Ovis aries: one gene and its partners. The protein of the gene in region 1 binds, or shares a complex with, the protein of each later gene. Links are inferred from orthologs where the notes say so. Each region holds a gene or a part of one and is shown in the gene's direction. Other genes may lie near its edges. The genes, in order: CYBB, cytochrome b-245 chaperone 1, cytochrome b-245 light chain and NCF2.

Region 1 (3,965 bases):
GCTGCCTTTTAAAGTAGCCAGCTGCCCCCATAAACAGGACCAAGCCACCCTTCCAAGGGTCACCTGAACTCTGTCATTTGTGGAAAGATAAAGGAGCTGAGGAGACTCTGCTCTGAGGCCTAAAATCAGTAGGAAATCTCCCGATGTGCTTTGTAATTGATCCCATCCCAAAGCCTAAAACTGTCTTTTTCTTTCTCTGTTTCTCCCCAAAAGTACCAGAATAGGAGTCTTCCTCTGTGGACCGGAAGCCTTGGCTGACACCCTTAATAAGCAGTGCATCTCCAACTCCGACTCTGGCCCCAGGGGAGTGCATTTCATTTTCAATAAGGAAAACTTCTAACTGGTCTCTTCCATGAGGAATAAATGTGGGTTGTACCACTGAATAACCAAGTAATGCTAGTGGATAATATAAGTTCCTCCCTTTAAAAAAGATAAAGGAACTATGATGTGATGATTTTCCCTGAAAGGAATGTCAAAGATTTTTAATGGTGATAAATTTGCATTTGTGTGGAGCTTTATGGTTTTCAGAGCAATTATATAAACTTTTTTTTTCATTTTGTTTTTTCCCTTTACAGTAATGCCAGGAAAGGTAGGGCAAAGATTCTCAGACTCAGTTTTCAGGATAAAAAAAAAAAAAAAGGTTCAAAGTGGTGAAGTAACCTCCCTAAGATTAAAGCTGAGACTGGCTCTAGGCCATCTGACTCTAGTTTTGGTGATCTTTCAGCAATAGCAGGTTGCCTGGAAATTGGTTTGCATACTCCCCCAAAGAAGAAGCGAACCAGGGAATAGTTATTCATATTCCCTTTTGTGTCATCTTTGTTATCAGTATTGCTCTATTGAAGGAAATGTTCCAAGTAGGAGATAATTTATCCTGTGAATGATTCATCACTTAATAGTGACGACATCCTCCAGTTTACCAATACAGCAGCCTAACTGGGTCAGAGATTTCTCCTAAAAAAGAATATTAAACTGACTGGATGTATATTTGACCCACCATTTACACTGATACTTGGCAGAGAGTGGATACTCATTGAAAGTTAGCTGAATGAATGAATGAAAAGACATTTAGAACCATACGGTGCCAAGGTAGAATCAACTGAAAGCCTTAAACAGTATTATCTGAGGAAATCACTTCTGATACTCTAGTTGACCAAATGAGCCTCATTCTCTTAAGGGTACAGAACAGGCTAAGGTTAGTAACCAATAGGTTGTCCTGTCCAAACACTCTTATTTGAAGCATTGCACCAAAGGGAGATGGAGGCAGAGAAATAAACTCCTCTTATAATTCTGGCTGGCTCCTTTAGTCCTGCTCCTGCTGATGCTATGAAAGAAATGCAAACTAATTTATTGCCCAAAACGGTCCTCTCCAGCCAGCACTTGTGAATTTGAAATTAAGAATTGTGACAAGAATGTATCTGACAGCTGCTTTAAATAGCATCCACCCTTTGTTTTACTTAAATACACATGGAAAATTGATCTTACTGGTGTAACTAATGATTTATCCTTCTATCATCATGATCATAATAAAATTTACATCCCAGAAACTAAATCCCTAGCTTACTATATAGCTTTTGAATTCATATCCAATAGAATATTCTAGATATTCATGAGTTCAAGAATCTCTAAATCACTCTTAATGTAACTGCTCCTACTTCTGGAAACTAAAAACAAATTTATTTGTTATATTCTCTGCGGCCACAGATATTTAGAAGTAATCAACTTTAATAATGAGAAAGAAGGAGAAAGGAGCAGAGGGGAAGGGCAGAAGACCAGGTTAGGAGGAAAGGGGAGGGAGGGAGGAAGACAATAGAAGGAAAGTGAGAGAAAGCCAAAAACAAAAAAAAGGCAAAAGGGAAGGGTAGGGGAAGGGGGTCACTTTCTACCCCAGATTTCTTAAAGTCTTGTATGTATTGAATGTAATTGCAGGAGCCATATACATATTCATTTTATTCTGATCACATAAGGTATTGAATCTGAAATTCTGGCCACAAATTTGATGCTGAGTGGACCTATTCAGGGGACCAAGCTGAACTAGAAAGAACTCAGTTGTTCCATTGGGTCCCCAGAATGCCCAGGGCACTGAGGGCATCAAGTCAGGCTTGCTTTGGGAAGGTCTTTTCCCCATGATGTCCAGGACTGTTTTTTCAAAGAGAAACTTAGGTCTGCCCCATTCACACTGCACCTGAGGAATCAGTTCATTCATTCAACAAAGCTGTATTGTGTTATTGCTATGACTCAGGCTCCTTGTTTGTGGTTTCATTTCTTTATGCCAAAGTGTGAGCCAGAAGGGGGACGAGAGTTACAGGGAGTCTGAGAATCTGGGCCCTTCCTCCCTATGTGGCATAAGTAAAACCAACTTTATTTGTCGCTCTGAAAATATCTCTGCAGGGTTTTCTATTTTTGACACCCAGAGAGTTACGCCCTGTGTTATCCTGGTTATAAGATGAAAAATGAGTGTAAACGCGCTTGTCATTATAAGAGCTTCCTTCCTGCTCCCCAGCCACTGGCTGCCCGTGCAGCCTTTTTAGCATTTAGTATTTAGTATTTAGTAACAGTTACTGAGAGAATGATTAAGCATTATTTTTAATCTCAAGGCTATGAAGGAGTTTCTTATTTCTTTTGCTTTTGCAACATTGTGTTTATTAATTTGAATACTTGTAGATGTTGTGTGTGAATAATTTGGGAGAGGGGGGCCCTGGGAGAGAATTCTTGGGAAGAACTATCAAAATGGCACTCAATTATTAAAATGAATGAGCTGTGTCTGTGTCTGTGTTATTGATCTTCGTATTCAAGGATGGACTTAGAGGGCATAGATTTTCTCTGCCCCAGTGGGATTGAGATTCTCTGTGTTTTCGTAGATGACATGTCAAACTAGGCACAATTTCTGGATTGAGTAGGGAAAACGAAGTACTGAGTTCTGTACTGATATCCGGGTGACACTCACAACACTGGTACAAGGAAATGGACAAGAGAGTATCACCTGATATTGTAGATAGAATTTCAAAGGCAAAGAAGCCCTAGTATAGCAACTTCTTTTTTTTTTTTTTTCATTTCCACTCATCTTTTAGGTTCTAACTTTGCAGTTCAGTTCAGTTCAGTTCAGTCGCTCAGTCGTGTCCAACTCTGCGACCCCATGAATGGCAGCACGCCAGGCCTCCCTGTCCATCACCAGCTCCTGGAGTTCACTCAGACTCACGTCCATCGAGTCAATGATGCCATCCAGCCATCTCATCCTCTGTCGTCCCCCTCTCCTCCTTCCCCCAATCCCTCCCAGCATCAGAGTCTTTTCCAATGAGTCAACTCTTCACAGGAGGTGGACAAAGTACTGGAGTTTCAACTTCAGCTCATTCCCTCCAAAGAAATCCCAGGGCTGATCTCCTTTAGGATGCACTAGTTGGATCTCCTTGCAGTCCAAGGGACTCTCAAGAGTCTTCTCCAACACCACAGTTCAAAAACATCAATTCTTTGGTGCTCAGCTTTCTTCACAGTCCAACTGTCACATCCATACATGACCACTGGAAAAACCATAGCCTTGACTAGATGGACCTTTGTTGGCAAAGTAATGTCTCTGCTCTTGAATATGCTATCTAGGTTGGTCATAACTTTCCTTCCAAGGAGTAAGCGTCTTTTAATTTCATGGCTGCAATCACCATCTGCAGTGATTTTGGAGCCCCCAAAAATAAAGTCTGACACTGTTTCCACTGTTTCCCCATCTATTTCCCATGAAGTAATGGGACCAAATGCCATGATCTTCATTTTCTGAATGTTGAGCTTTAGGCCAACTTTTTCACTCTCCTCTTTCACTTTCATCAAGAGGCTTTTTAGTTCCTCTTCACTTTCTGCCATAAGGGTGGTGTCATCTGCATATCTGAGGTTATTGATATTTCTCCCAGCAATCTTGATTCCAGCTTGTGCTTCTTCCAGCCTAACTTTGCAGTTAGGTCCATCAAATCAGGTTGTGAATA
Region 2 (4,938 bases), on another chromosome or scaffold:
GAAAAAAATGTACAGATTTTATTCACTCAGTCCCCTATTTGTGTATTTTGTATTTATTTCCAGTCTTTTGCTCTTACCTATATTCAGCAGGATTTTAATCAAATCAGCCATCATTTGTTCTCTCATTTAACATTAATAGAAAGCCAGTGTAGGCTTCATTTTTAAATGGCTTGTACTCTGGTATAAAAGGTTAAATTATGTCAAGGACTGTAATGCAAAGTGGAATTTTCTGGGTATCAATTCAGTTCTCCCTAAATTCTAAGGAATTAAGATCACAAGCAGAGAGGACTTAAAGGAGGTGCTAAGCAATTCAAATAGACCTTCAAGATGGCGGTAATCTTACCACAGAAGGCATTTCAAGGAAATAGAATGTGGGCTGAGGCATCAGGTCAGGGAACCTGCCACATTCTTGCAGAACCTACTTTTGTTACAGCTCTGAGCTTAAGTTCTCTGGGTGTGGTTCTCAGAGCAGCAGGCACCAGCATGAGTACATTTCAAGCCCCATCCATTGCTGGAACAGGTCCAGTGGTCTGTGTTTCAGTAGCCCCACCAGGTGATTCTGAACCACAGGCAGAGTACATAGAGACTGGTGAAATAGAAAAGTCATCCCCCAATTTTTGACATTGTGCCTATATTGGTAAAACATCTAGGGTTATGCATACCCATGTGTGTATATTTCTTTATACACTGTGTATAAGTCTTATGTAAATTATAGGACACATGAGAATAGACATAAAAAGATAAGTAGGAATACAAGCTCTAGTATGTTCTTCCAGCACTCTATAGATCATCTTGACCGTCCCAGTTTGGAGGCCACTGATGCAGTGGCTGTGCGGTAGAGGCTCTCCTGTTTCAGGTAATCCTCTAGTGGGAAATAGGCAAATCAGGGTCCTACTTGGGGCCTCATCTGGGGGCCCTGGCGGTACATTATGAGTGTTTTGCTGGAGAGTGGAGCAGGGAGGCCACCTAAGCGGCCATTTCAAGGTATTCCTGGAGAATATGATCTCTTACTACAGTCCTCCTTCCCCTACAATGGGGCAAGTTTAGGAGGAGCAGAAAAACTGCCCTCACGAAAATGTGAATTTCCCAGCTACACTGAGTTTTTTTGGGGGGGTCAAGGATCTCTAGTTCTCTCCTACCCTCCTCCACAGTGCCTTGCAGCGCTGTGCCGATTTTTCAACCTGTTGATACTCTTACTAGGTTCGCAATTCAATCTACAGAGCAAGTTGGGAGAATTCACATTTGTACTATAATTTTCCAAACCACGAACAACTATTTTAGTTCTATTTTAATGCTTCCCATTAAAGTTTTTACAGAACCTACCATAATGTTTGTATGTATCTGTTGTGAGCTTAAATATATACTTCACGTTTCCTTACCATCTTAAATGGCTGTCCCGTGCTTACAACTTCACCTGCCTCCGCTGATCTTCTAAAGACTGCAACCCCAGGCGCTCTGTGCTGAGTGCCGGGGTGCGCAAAACCCATGACAGCCTCCGCAATCTCTACTGATTGGTAGTCAACCTCATTCTAGAGCCCCGCCAGCCCTCTTCTCTCGAGGGCTAAATGGAAGCCCCGGAAGTCAGGACCCGCGCGCCTCGCCCCGCCCCCGAGTCTGGAAGTCTACTGTCCCATCCGCCCCCGCGGGTCCGGAAGTCAGTTGGTCCCGCCCCCAGCTCCGGAAGTTGGAGGCCGGCGCGTTTTGAAGTCCTGCCGGTCCCGCCCGTCCCGCCTCCGCGCCTGCAGGTTTGTGTCTGCGGTGAGCGCCCGGGCTGTGCCACGGTTGCGGGTTGGGGGGCGCGGGGTGTGCTGAGGGGCGGCTCCCGCAGCCGAGGTCCTTCCGGGAGCGCGGTCTTGTGACCCGGCCCGGGTCGATGCCCCGGGGGCCTGGCAGCGCTCGAGGCTAGAAGGGTGCACAGTGTGGCCGCAAGGGTCAGTGGAGAGTGTCCTAAGCGGCTCGTGCAGGTGACAGGAGTGATCTCGCCCCGCGGGCGGCCGAGTCGCGTGTGGAAACAGGCGAAGCGTGTCAAAGGGAGGGAGCCGGGGATATCGCAGGATCTTGGCTTCGTTTGTGTGAACTGAATCCACTCTTTGTTGTCAGAAATTTGACAACTTTACAGAGAACACCTGAAAAGCTACCCAAAACGGGGCCCCTGGAGCCAGCATTTTGAACGTATTGCAGGGCAGAATTCTCCACTTGTGGAAGATCAGTCCCCTTTGCTGACTCGTTCATTAAGCTGGTGCTCCTGGCCGTCCAAACCCTCCGCTGGGTGCGGACTGTTGTCTCCGCAGCTGCAGGAACTGACTTTTCGATCAGTGCCTCTCATCAAACCATGACGAGACTTTCAGTTCTCTTTTTCATAGGCCTGTACAGGGAAATGAGGGTGTTCTGGTACGTTCTGATAGGGTGCCAGAAGTTTGGAGGCTGCTGGGGGCTAACGGTTTCCAAGAGACTGAGGTTTCCAGGTAAGAAGTGGACAGGTGATGATCAAATGTTGAAGCTTTGTGAGCCAGAGCAGGGGACATAGCCCCAGTGCAACCACTATATCTGCGCAAAGAACCTTCCTTACAGAGGACATGGGTCCCTAGGGGGTTGACTTGCCTGACCACAGGACAGCAGTCAGCACAGGCTGAGTGGTTTCTGAACCTGTGTGGACCTTGTCAGTGGGCAGCTGGGCATCCTGTCCTGGAGAGCAGCTGGGTTCTTGTCTGTTAGCAGCGGCCCAAGGGCTCCAGCTGTCTCTTTGTGTCCTTCCCTAGGCGCCCTGGTCTCTTGTTGAAGGTGGTGGCAGCACGTTCCAGGGATGTATATGCAGGTGGAGACACGCACCAGCTCCCGCCTCCATCTGAAGAGGGCTCCAGGCATCAGATCCTGGTCCCTGCTGGTTGGTAAGGATGTTCATATTTCTCAAGTTAAAAATCCAACTTTACAAAAGGATGAAGATTAAACTAAAATTTTCCTTGGTTCTACTACCCCAGGAAATAGCAACTATTATGTCTTTCCAGCTTTTATCCTTTTCGAGTGCTTTTACAGAGGGTCAGTCTTGTGTTTTTTCACCATTTAACATCCTTTGGTTAATAGTCTCCATGCTCCTGTGAGGTCCCTGTATTTCCTTTTTTGTTTGCTTTCATAAGGTTAGGGCCTGTGTGATGGAGACAGTAAGGAGTAAGGGTGGGGAGGCCCCTGGTCCTGTACCCTGTCAATCCCCATTGCCCTGCACTCCCTGGGCAGCTGCACATGTTAATTGGAACTGAGGTGTGAGGGGAGGTGCTGCTGCACCTTCGGCAGCCTGGCTCTGGGCCTTCTTTCCCGGGACTCTTCCTGTTTCGTCTCGTGCGGGGTTGTGATTCTTCACCTGCAGTCTTGTCTTCATTCCACACCATGTGCTGTCAGTGGATGAGACCCACATCAGGTTCCTCTTTCTGGTTCCCCTGTCAGCTCTGGAACCTCAGCGTAGACATGTGACCAGTGAATACTGTGACTGAGGTAGAACATTCTTGTAAACAGACTTCCTGGTTGTTTCCACAATTTCTGAGCCTGGCGGTTTTCTTGCCCCCCTGCTCCCTGCTCTTAGCCATCCCTGGCAGCAGGGGGGGCTGCTTACCTGGGTCTGCGGGTCATGGGAGGAGGTGGTCTCTGGGCTAGTGGTGGCCCAATGGAAAGGGACTGGTTTTCTCCCCACAGGAATCTTGTCGATCGGCCTGGCTGCTGCCTACTACAGTGGAGGTGAGGAATGGCATCTGCCCTGCCCCGCCCCATCCCTAGGAGCTTCCTTAGCTGATTGGAAAATAAGAGAAAAAAAGGAAACCCTGTCATTTGTAATCTGATAGGCATGATTTGGGGGATTGTCCCTGCCTCTAAATGGGGCTTCCCTGGTTGCTCAGATGGTAAAGAATCTGCCTGCAGTGTGGGAGACCTGGTTTCTATCCCTGGGTTGGGAATAGCCCCTGGAGAAGGGAATGGCTACCCACTTCTGCCTAGGAAATCCCATGGACAGAGGAGGCTGGCAGGTTACAGTCCATGGGGTCATAAGGAGTTGGACTTTCTTCCTCTAAATGGTTTGCAGGCGTGGTCTCACCTTCATGCGCTTGTGTGCCCCCCACAGCTTGCATTCATTTACATCAGCATTTTCATGTCATAAAATATGCAGAAAGGCACTCTCATGTCTGCCTCAGGTCTTGTGGCAGGAATAGTCTATGCTTTCAGCAGCTCCCTGGAAGTAGTCCCCCATCTCTGCTCTCACACACGGTGCCATGATCGTAATCTCGAGGAGTCACCCACGTGGAGAGCTGAAGGCAGAGCTGGTGGACCACATCCTGCCCTGTGTGACAGGGCCCACAGTGCTGGATGGCCTTGGCAGGGGTGGGGTGTCCTTGGAGGCATGGGCAGTCAGCTGGGCCCTCAGGGGCCACTCCTGCCCAGAGTCTGGGAAGCAGCTGTTCTGGGAGGAGGCACCCCCTGTAGGCATGTTGACTTTTGCCCCCCTGCTACCTGCCCATGGCTGTCTCCTGTGTTTGCTCCCCAGATAGTCTGGGCTGGAAGCTCTTCTATGTCACGGGCTGTCTGTTTGTGGCCGTGCAGAACCTGGAGGACTGGGAGGTGAGGCTGATGCAGGAAGGGTGCCCAGGCTTTGGGGCTCCTGGGTTCCCCTGCAGGGCTCGTCAAAGGAAGAAAGACTCCAGGGTCCTAATGCCCTCCACCCCGATCCTGAAATGTGAGCCCAGTGGTTTCTGGCCAGCTTGACTTGGCCCCTGGACATTGCCTATTTGTGACCATTTGTGGGCCACAGAATCTTCTGAAGCTGCTCTCCTAGAAGGGCGAGGCCACCTCCCTCTCCTCCCTTTTGTCCTTCCTCATGTGTCCTTTGGGTTGCCTGGCCCCAGTATTGTTCTCTGCCCTGTTCCCTCATTTGATGACCTTATCCTCAGTGCTCACCTC
Region 3 (4,908 bases), on another chromosome or scaffold:
GGCCTCTGCCGACCGCTCCAGACTTGCTATCCACTCCACGTCTGCCCAGAGGGACTGAGCCTCTGCCTGAGGATTGGGCCCTGGGCCCAGCATCACCAGGGTGTCTGACCTGCCTGCATTTCCTGGAAGGGCAGGTGCACCCTGTCCCTCCCTGATGATAATTTCTTAACCCCACAGGTGGGACCCGGGCCTCAGGTCCTGGACGACCCTGTCGCTCATCTCCTGGGTCCTGACGGTCTGCCAAAGCCAGCTGCCTGACCACCTCTTTGATGGGGCCCGGCCGCCGCTGGGAGAAGGGGCCGCTTCACTGGGATTGGGAGCCGGGTGTGGTGGTCAACAGGCCACGCTTGTTGGGATTTGTGGGTAACTGCCTGCTCTGGGCCAGGCCATGTGCTGTGGCTGAGTTGGGCAATGGATGACGCCTGCAGCCACCCAGATGATCAGGGGAAGCCCCCCCAAGTGCCTCACCTTTCCCTGACCTGCACCCAGCGCTTGCTGAGATGGGGACCTGGACCCTGATCCAAGACCAGGGGACTGAGCCGGCAGGGAGCTGCTGGTGCATCGATCATGAAGGGCCCTCAGGCCCCGGACTCATGGGCACCCCACTGCCACAGGAGGTGATGGCATGTCGGGGTACCCCTCAGAGCTGGAAGCCGGGTCACCGTGCAGGGGACGACCTCAGGACAGCTCCATGAAGTGCTCCCTCAACTCTGAGCCCAGGCCCCTGAGTGGGTGCAGTGTTGTGTCTGCGGGACAGAGGAGCAGTGCCAAGGCCAGAGTAAAGGCAGTTCGAGGACTCACCTGGCCTGGTGTGCTTTCTTCAGCCCTCACCCAGGGGGCTGGGCGGGCATTGTGGGGGGTGGGGCTGGGGCCTCCCCGCCATGCCTGGGATGCTTAGCACAGGCCACAGCCACACAGTGGTGGGTAGACGTGGTCACTAAGGCCGACAGGCTGGGGAAATGGTTCGGGTTTGGCTTTAAGCTCGGTCCACATCCCCCTTCCAAGTGAGTTCCATTCTTCTCCACTGTCCTAACCCAGCTGGGGGAAGAAGGGGGAGGGCTTCTGAGCCCTCTGACCTTGACCCTAAAAGGGAGTCCAAGGAGGGAGGTGACAAAGGACAGGGCCCAGCACTGCTACATTCTGGGTTCTCCCAGAAGCTTCCCATACTCACCCGCCCTACCCCCCCAAGTTAGTCCAGGGTTACCAGTGGGGCCAACACCACCACACCTGCACTAGCCCAGGGCCGGATGCGGCGGGCCTCCCAGGAGTCTCCCCAGGGGCTGGCCTGAAGCCCTGCTTCCCCTCCAGGGGTCCACCGAGGCCGGGCTGGCTGGGCCTGCAGGGGAGGAAGACCTGAGGTCCCGTGGAGCGAGTTGGGGGCAAGGCTCCTGAGACCCCAACCTGCAGCCGGCCTGTCACCTGGGGAAGCGGGTTGGGGCGGAGCCGGCGGCGGGGCGGGGCGGCGCCGGAACTTGGGGAACTTGGGCGGGGCGGGAGGCTTGCTGAGCTCTGGGGCCGCGGGGTCTGAAGAGTCCGAGCCGCGTTCGAGCCGATCTGCCGCCATGGGGCAGATCGAGTGGGCCATGTGGGCCAACGAGCAGGCGCTGGCGTCCGGCCTGAGTGAGTGGGGGGCGCTTTGCACTTGGGGCGGGGGCTGCAGAGGGGCTGCTGAGCCTGGGGGCGGGGCGCCGCGGCAGTGCAGGGGGGCTCTGGGGCTGGGGAAGTAGGGGCCTGGAGACCCCAGGCTGCGAGAGGTAAAGGGGAAAGGGCAGGCTGGAGAAGGGGCGGGAGCAGGGGTCCTGAGGAGCCAAAGACACCCGGCTGGAGCCTGGGGTGGGGCCCCGGGCCCGGAGGCTCCAGTGGGCGACCTACAGCGCCGGCGGGAAGGGGGCTGGGGGCCTCTGTTGGGAGCAGGGGAGGGGGATTCGGGGCCCTCCTGCCCCTGCACCCCGTGCACACCCACACCCCCATCCTCTGCCCTCTTCTCCACCCCCCACACCGTCCCCTCTCCCCTCCCCCGCACACCCTCTTCCCCTCCCCCTCTCCCTCGCCCCCCCCGACACACACAAAAGAGGAAGTTCAGTCTAGGGAAGAAGCGCTTGCCCCCGGGGTTTCCGGAGAACTCACCGCCCAGTAGGGCTGGGAAAACCCAGCATGACCCACCCCTGCCTGGAGTGACCCTCCTGCCCTGGGGTGGAAGCTCCCTCCCCTAAGGCCCCTGGGCTGCGGAGGTGGGCTCTTCCTGCCTCCTGGCCAGGCTTGGTCCATGGAACTGGGTGACCGCTCTGTCTCCCGGGGCGCAGCCCTGAGTCTGCTCAGAAGGACATTGCACAAGGCAGCTGGAGACGACCCATGTGACCCCTCCCACCCAGCTCCCAGGGCCTGCTTCTGGGTAGGAAGGCGGCCGTCCCCCCTGCTTCCCCGTGCTCAACCGCGGTTGCAGACAGTGCTGTACGCACTTGGACTCAACTTCTCAGGAGAGGGTGGGGCTTGAGGCTTGAGGAAGCCCCCCGTGGCCCCGCCCCTCCCAGGAAGGCCCCGCCCCCAGTGAGAGTGGGCGGGCGGGAGGACCTGGGGATAAAGTGATGAGGAGGGTCTCAGCCACCGCGTCTCACCTGGGACCCACCCTGAGGCCCCCACCGCCAACCTGGGGACTGAAGGAAGGAGCCTGCGAAGCTGAGCTGGGGGTGGGGAGGGAGCACTTTAAGGTCACATTTTGGGGGTGGGCAACTTTGGGGTGCCAGGCAGGGCAGCCCCCTTCTGGCTTCTAGATGGCGGAGAACCCAGTGGGTCAGTACGTGGCTTTCCTTGCTTCTGCCCAGAGCTGTCTTCTCCCAGTGCTGTCTACCCCTCCCCATCACCACCGCAATGACTACTGCTTGTCTTCCTCCACAACCTTCTGGCTCTAAATTCCTCCTCTTGCTAACTCCTGACTCAGTACCAACACAGGCCCCACGAGCATCTCAGCCCACCGTCCCTTTATGTTATAGAGAATCGCATCTGATCAGATAACGGTCCCTCCATCTCCCACCACTCTGCCCCTGCCCCTCTGACCTCGGGGGCCCACCACCCTGGTGTTTGCCACAGAGCTGGCTCCCCCCGCTTCACCTCTCTGCCCACATCCACCTGCTCCGAGCCACAGCGCCTACCTCATTCACCATGATCTGAAGTGTCTGTCCACATCGAGAGACCCCAGGCCCCTCTGGGAGCTGAGACTCCTGCTAATGACGCAGGCTCAGGCCAAGGAAATTACATGCCCAGGTCGAGTGGACGAGCCGCTGCCTGAACGCAGGAGCGATGGCTCTTCCCCTCCTCCAGCACAGCAAGTGTGAGCATGACACCAGCAGAAGAAGGCCAGGGTTCAGGGGCTGAAGGGAGGGGTGGGAGGTCAGAGCTTTTACCTCGTGGGACTCTGAGGCCAGACCGGGAAAGGCTGTCTGAACAAGAAACAGATCAAAAGATCGTCCCCTCCAAGGAGTTGTGTTATCTGCCACCACAGCCTGGACGAAGAAAGTCACAAGTAAGACAAAACTGCTGGAAACTCAGGCCTGTGCTACACAAGGGGCAGGGGCTGCCCTCTCCCACTCTATGCCACAGGGACCACCAACGAAGAAGTTCAAGTCATCAGAAAGGAGTGCTGAAGGGTGTGCTCCAGCGAGGGCGAAGCTGGATCCAGAGGGAAGATGGCTATGCCACTGTGAAGACACTGACTGTAAATAATTAATAATTGTGGCTAATTTGGGGTGAGATTAAAGATAAACCTTCTAAAGTCCACATGTAGTTCAGGAAGAGGAATTTTAAAATTACAGTTTGATCAAGTCAGTAGAAGGCAGGAGAAGCAACAAGAAAAGCTGTTCAAGAGGAAACCCAAGTAAGATAACAAAGTAAGTTATCTGTAATCACAGTCAATAAAATGTGTCAAATTCACTATCAGATTGCTTAAAGGGTGAAGAGTTTAACTCTATCAGCTAATTCATAAAAGCCCAACGTTGGAAGCAACTGACATGTCCCAAAGGCAGGAGAATGCATAAATAAATTGTGGGAAACTACCCAATGAGACAAACAGCGAGCCAGAGCTCTGTGCAAACCACCCCAGGAAGGGCCTGGACCAACCTTCTGTCAGCAAAAGAAGAGCCCTCAGAAAACCTGGGATGGGGGAGAATCTTGATATGGGTGGAGGTCACATGGTAGGGGTCACACATGTTAAAAGTCTGTGCACTTTATGTCATAGTGATACCCCAGTAAGTGACTGGAACCCTGAGGATGGGTGGCCGTGATGGAGTGACAGGTGTGAGTGTGCATCACGCCCCTGAGCGGTGCACTGAAGCTGCCGCCGTAGAAGAAAGTCACTGGGGAGGAATGGGGCCGATGCACATGCTCGCGGCAGGTGGGCTGCGATCAGGTGCACACAGGGCTGGAGAGACCAGGCCCACCCAGACCCAGCATCGCACAGAGCACACGAACAGGATCAGCCCACACACCCGAGGCCAGGACCGAGGGTCCACGCAGCTGGTACAAAGTCAACCACCAACAGCGTGGTCCTTAAATGCATTGAGCAAATGCTCAGGGTGCCGTGGCTCACAGGCCTCGGGGGTGTGTCCAGGCTAGAGCCAGGCCCTGCCTCCCTCTCAGCAGCTCCTCAGCCCCCTCCCTGCCTCAAATGCTGCTCTTGGGGAAGGGTCCCAACCCCCATGCCTATAGCCACCCCCATCATCTACCAAGGTCTCCCCCGCCTGGGTCCCCTTCCTGGGCTAACATGGTGGCGGATATGGCAGCTCTGTGGTGGACTGTTGGCCCTCCTTGGGGAGGGGGCCCTGGGGAAGGGGCCAGAGCCCCTGCAGAGATGGGGTATGGCACCTACTAACCTCCTTCTCCTCTGCCCACAGTCCTTATCACCGGGGGCATTGT
Region 4 (4,430 bases), on another chromosome or scaffold:
TCCTCCTCAGAAGGGAAGGGAGGGCAGGGGTTGCAAGGCATCATCGAGTGTTGTGTGATGTTGTTGTTTTTTTAGCTCTTGTCCCACTGCATGTGTGGTCACGGAGCATGTTCACAGGCAGAGTCCTCTCAGGCCGTCAGATGGGCAAATCCCTGCTCAGGGTCGCCTGGGCAGTTAGGGGTGGGAGTGAGGCTCCCAGCTCTGGGTCCATAGTTGCTGACCCACAGCATCATGGGAACAGATGTGGTCCAGGCTAGATGGTGGGTGAGATCTCATATCTTGTGTCTACCCCTCCTCTTCTCCCCACCCTCATCCCGCAGGGCCCTGGAAGGGGAAGCCCACCGTGTGTTGTTTGGGTTTGTGCCTGAGACCCCAGAGGAGCTGCAGGTCATGCCGGGGAACATCGTCTTTGTCTTGAAGAAGGGCAATGATAACTGGGCTACAGTCATGTTCAACGGGCAGGTATTCAGAGGATGGGGGGGGTGGGTGGGTTAATGGCACAGGATCCTGGCAGCACATGGCAGAGCTTTTTGAGGAGCAGCATCTGCTGCCTTATATGCAGGCCAGCTGCCCCCTCTTTCACCTGTCCTCCCACCCCTCCCCACGTCTCTGGGTGTCCTGCACTGCTGCTGACGTCTGCATCTTTGTTCCCGCTTTCTGGCTCCACGATGCTGCGCTGCAGAAGGGGCTTGTTCCCTGCAACTACCTTGAACCAGTTGAGCTGCGGATCCATCCTCAGCAGCAGCCCCAGGTAATGTAGTGCCAAGGGCTGACCCGTTCCCTTCCTACCCTTGAAACCCACCACCGACAGACCACGGAGGAGAGCAGAGAGGAAGAGGCCCTGAGGACTCACTAGTCCTGAGCCCACCTTGAGTTGGTACCAGCCACCCAGAGCTGAACCTAGGGATGAAAGAAAAAATCCAGACGTGCTGAGTGGAGGCATCAGCAGGTCCTATTGGGCCCCCAGCTCTGTGATTCCTGCTGGTCAAGGGTGACTTGACCACAACTACAGCACGTGACAACTTAGGTCTTCCCAGGATATCGTCTTCATCCGGAAGAAGAGTCAGCGTGCTGGCTGGTGAAATCCATTCACCATAGGAAATGTGCTTTGGAGCACTGAATTAGAGCAGACCTTGCCAGCCACTGCTTCCAATGCCGCTGCCACCTCCACCCACTCACCCCATCTCAATGACCTGCCCTTCTGCCAGTCCTGGGGAGTAGTCTTCGTTGGATCTGTGCAGATGCCTGATGGCAATAGATCCTGTCTCTAGACTATGCAACCAGTTGTCCTCTGTGGGGTTGGCCCTCCCTGGTCAGAGACACGATGTCCAGATGACTGGAAAATTTCTAAATGCCATGTAGATGCGAAGTGTCAAGTTTCTTCTGAAGGAGCAAGGTGTACAGTGAGAGCGAGCAAGTTTAGACAAAGGTCCTACCCTGCCTCCAATGGGTTTCCAGTGTGGCAATTGGGGTGATTAGGTAGCAAGGGCTTTGTAGCTGGAGGATTAAGATTCTTATTTTCTCATTATTATTTCTACTGTGATTGTTTTCACCAGGCCCACTCTGCCTGCCACTGAATCAATACTTTCCTTCAGTTCAGTTCAGTTCATTCGCTCAGTCATGTCTGACTCTTTGCAGCCCTATGGACTGTGGTACGCCAGGCTTCCCTGTCCATCATGAACTCCCAGAGTTTACTCAACCTCATCTGCATTGAGTCGGTGATGCCATCCAACCATCTCATCCTCTGTCGTCCCCTTCTCCTCCTGCCTTCAGTCTCCTCCCAGCCCTTAGTCTCCACTAAATGTCACCACCCCTCCAACTCTTAGGAAGTCATTTGCATCTGGCTCCCTTCCATGGTGGTCTGCAGGGTCTCCCTGACTCCTACCCCTGCCTAAGAACTGTCTGCATGAAGGTTCTCATCCTCTCTTCCTCTCCCCTCCAGGAAGAAACCTCCCCCAAGTCTGATATCCCAGCTCCCCCGAGTTCCAGTGCTCCTGGAAGACCCCAGTCGTCACCAGGTTAGAGTCTCTGGAGGACCATCCCGGGATTGGGTGCAGGAGTGCTTCAGGCTGCCTCCCCACGGAGGTTTCTTCTCCCAGCCTGACAGAATCTGGTTTCTTGTTCTCCCAGCTTATGATCACGATGCCCCAGAGCGCCCCCCCTCATCCTGTGTTACTCACCCACCCCAAACACAGGAAAACAGAAATGCTTCCTCCCTGCCTGCTCCAGAACATGCAGGGAGCTTGGGTAAAGGCAGCTGCTTTCTGGCAGGCTGTGAGCATCCCAACTCAATCAGTTATTAAGTAGTGGGACCTTATCCCAGGAGGAAAGGCTCAAGTAATTGCACCTGTTGACCTCAAAGTGGAGTGGAGTGGTTCTTTTCAAAACACTGAGGAGCTCTATCTAGAAAAGAAACTCTGCACAGTGCTGGAGGATGGACAAAGAACCAACACGAAAGGGAGACTCTCCTGATATGTGGAGACGGCTGCCCTGGGAAGTCATGGACTTTTGGTCACTAGTGCGGGTTAAGCAGATCCTGAGTAAGTGCTTGGTAGAGATGCACTGAATAGGTGGTTTGTCCAGATCCTAGATCAAAGACTGTCATGCCCACCTGGTCACCAGAATCACTGGGGATGCTCCCCACCCCTATTTTTACTTTGAAAATATCAAACCTACAGAAAGGTTGAAAGTATGGTACAATATGAACACAAGAATATCTTTCACTTAAATTCAGTAATTGTTAACATTTTGCACCATGTACTTGGCTCCTCCTCTTGTTAATATAATTTTTTTTCTAGTTGCTAAACCACTTGAAACTAAGTTACAGACTCATGACATTTCACCCTGCACTTCAGCATCTGAATCCTAAGAACAAAGATGCTCTTCTGCATAAGCACAATATAATATCTAGGATAGTGTTGACATATTATATATTATTATATAATATAGATTATATATTTCATATTCAAATTTCTCCTATTATCCTCCAATGTCTTTGACAGCTTTCTTGAATTTATATTTTCTGTCTAGGGGCCCATCAAGGATCACATATTAACCTAGGAAGATTTTAAGAACGTAGAATTAAAGGCCTTTGATTCTGATTTTTAAGGACTGGAATCAGGTTTAGAAACCTGTTTTTCTAAAAAAAAAATCCCAAGTATTCTAATGATCAACTGGGTTTGAGATCAGTGGTCTTTTTTGAGCATGCACTGCTGTTTCCATGGTGAATATCATTATACATACTTTTCTTATATAAATTATATGTGTTTAGTCACTCAGTCATGTTTGACTCTTTGCAATCCCAAGGACTGTAGCCCACCAGGCTCCTCTGTTCATGGGACTCTCCAGGCAAGAATACTGGGGTGGGTAGCCATTCCCTTCTTGGGTTGGGAAGATGAGATCTTCCTAACCAGTCCCAACCATAGGATTGAACCTAGGTCTCCGGCACTGCAGGCAGATTCTTTACCATCTGAACCACTGGGGAAACCCCATACATTATATATGTACTGCTATGTTAATATATGTTATACATTAGAAAACATACACAAGATAAAGGACAAATTAAAAATAAGCAGTTATTTCTCCTTGCGGCTCCTGGCTCATCTCACACTCACTGATTTTGTTTCGATGGAGCCCACCGCTCTAACTGACCTTTGGGCATCTTGCATGATACCACTACACCAGCAGCACTATTATTAACTGTCCTTTGGGATCCCTCCCTAACTGCACGGGCTGGTGAGGATGTGATGGTCCTTTGCTAATTACCTATATGCTGCCTGGAAGCAGAGACTGGGTTCATTTGTGTGTTCATGGCTTTGCCCTTCACATCTACCCAATGATTTCCACCCAAGTTTATTAAGGTTAATAATCACCCCACAGGTTAAAGCGTATAATGTTGGGCACCTGGTTCTAAGTGGTTTCGTCTTGTGTATGGCAGGGGCTAGCCAAGAGTGTTCATTCATCATCTCTCTTTGTTTTACTCTCACCTTCTCCATTTAGGTCAGAAAGGAAAAGAAGAGCCCAAGGTAATTTTTTTTTCCTTGTACTATTTCGAGTGGTAGAGAAAGGAAGAGCTTAGGTTGCCCACCTAACCATTTCTACGGGCGGCCTCCTTGGATTGTAGAAAGAGCTCCAAAGGAAGGGGTAGACCAGTTGTTACCATATATTCAGGGACCAGGGACCCCCCCCCACCCCCGCCATTTGACAATCTCCCCCTCTTCCATGCACACACTGCCTGCTGGCCCATGGCTGGTGGGCCAGGTATCACCCATAGGAATTTTTATCCAAGCATGAGTTGAGCTGGAGGACAGGACTCTGAAGGCCCTCTCATGTTAGTGTGAACCAGGCACTTCTGGGCTTTTCCCCAGCATGGGGTACTTACTCCCTGGGATTCAGTATGTTGCTTGGAGGAAGCCTCAGGCACTGACAGA

Evidence for each region.
Region 2: the proteins of CYBB (region 1) and cytochrome b-245 chaperone 1 are in contact, whole or in part, in a cryo-EM structure (PDB 8KEI), measured with the Homo sapiens proteins. The link is inferred for Ovis aries from reciprocal best matches to the Homo sapiens genes CYBB and CYBC1. Residues at the interface, in NP_000388.2 of Homo sapiens: Trp28, Asn74, Leu75, Leu76, Ser77, Phe78, Leu79, Arg80, Gly81, Ser82, Ser83, Ala84, Cys85, Cys86, Trp206, His210, Phe212, Pro266, Met268, Trp270, Lys271, Ile273, Tyr280, Tyr324, Phe326, Lys328, Leu335, Glu336, Trp337, His338; in NP_001028218.1 of Homo sapiens: Arg22, Leu26, Ala37, Ser41, Gly42, Asp43, Trp47, Phe50, Tyr51, Phe57, Gln61, Asn62, Glu64, Lys77, His97, Asp98, Gln99, Val100, Val101, Val102, Leu103, Arg108, Ser111, Glu115, Val117, Arg118, Tyr119, Phe120, Arg129, Ala131.
Region 3: the proteins of CYBB (region 1) and cytochrome b-245 light chain are in contact, whole or in part, in a cryo-EM structure (PDB 8X2L), measured with the Homo sapiens proteins. The link is inferred for Ovis aries from reciprocal best matches to the Homo sapiens genes CYBB and CYBA. Residues at the interface, in NP_000388.2 of Homo sapiens: Thr116, Ile117, Leu120, Phe121, Val123, Glu124, Asn128, Asn133, Lys161, Asn162, Pro163, Gly166, Leu167, Ala170, Val180, Thr183, Leu184, Ile187, Leu188, Thr191, Ser192, Thr194, Lys195, Thr196, Ile197, Arg199, Ser200, Tyr201, Glu203, Val204; in NP_000092.2 of Homo sapiens: Gln3, Ile4, Glu5, Trp6, Met8, Trp9, Glu12, Gln13, Ala16, Ile20, Thr23, Val27, Gly31, Phe33, Thr34, Gln35, Arg56, Arg59, Met65, Gly102, Phe103, Leu104, Leu105, Ala106, Ile108, Leu109, Ala112, Cys113, Ile116.
Region 4: CYBB (region 1) and NCF2 share a complex: the UniProt entries of both Homo sapiens proteins name them as parts of the phagocyte NADPH oxidase complex. The link is inferred for Ovis aries from reciprocal best matches to the Homo sapiens genes CYBB and NCF2.

The regions. Positions count from the first base shown.
Region 1 is NC_056080.1:37,146,114-37,150,078, forward strand, and holds the end of CYBB (cytochrome b-245 heavy chain), read left to right. Parts: intron 1-213; coding exon 214-340; 3' UTR 341-2,760; downstream 2,761-3,965. UniProt on the Homo sapiens protein: Catalytic subunit of the phagocyte NADPH oxidase complex that mediates the transfer of electrons from cytosolic NADPH to O2 to produce the superoxide anion (O2(-)).
Region 2 is NC_056064.1:49,808,033-49,812,970, forward strand, and holds the start of cytochrome b-245 chaperone 1, read left to right. Parts: upstream 1-1,657; 5' UTR 1,658-2,465; intron 2,466-2,759; 5' UTR 2,760-2,803; coding exon 2,804-2,888; intron 2,889-3,684; coding exon 3,685-3,726; intron 3,727-4,525; coding exon 4,526-4,599; intron 4,600-4,938. UniProt on the Homo sapiens protein: Functions as a chaperone necessary for a stable expression of the CYBA and CYBB subunits of the cytochrome b-245 heterodimer. Controls the phagocyte respiratory burst and is essential for innate immunity.
Region 3 is NC_056067.1:13,434,299-13,439,206, reverse strand, and holds the start of cytochrome b-245 light chain, read left to right. Parts: upstream 1-1,511; 5' UTR 1,512-1,562; coding exon 1,563-1,620; intron 1,621-4,886; coding exon 4,887-4,908. Other genes in the region: MVD (diphosphomevalonate decarboxylase), read left to right, coding at 178-258. UniProt on the Homo sapiens protein: Subunit of NADPH oxidase complexes that is required for the NADPH oxidase activity that generates, in various cell types, superoxide from molecular oxygen utilizing NADPH as an electron donor.
Region 4 is NC_056065.1:64,050,322-64,054,751, reverse strand, and holds part of NCF2 (neutrophil cytosol factor 2), read left to right. Parts: intron 1-320; coding exon 321-462; intron 463-682; coding exon 683-751; intron 752-1,942; coding exon 1,943-2,018; intron 2,019-3,999; coding exon 4,000-4,025; intron 4,026-4,430. UniProt on the Homo sapiens protein: Subunit of the phagocyte NADPH oxidase complex that mediates the transfer of electrons from cytosolic NADPH to O2 to produce the superoxide anion (O2(-)).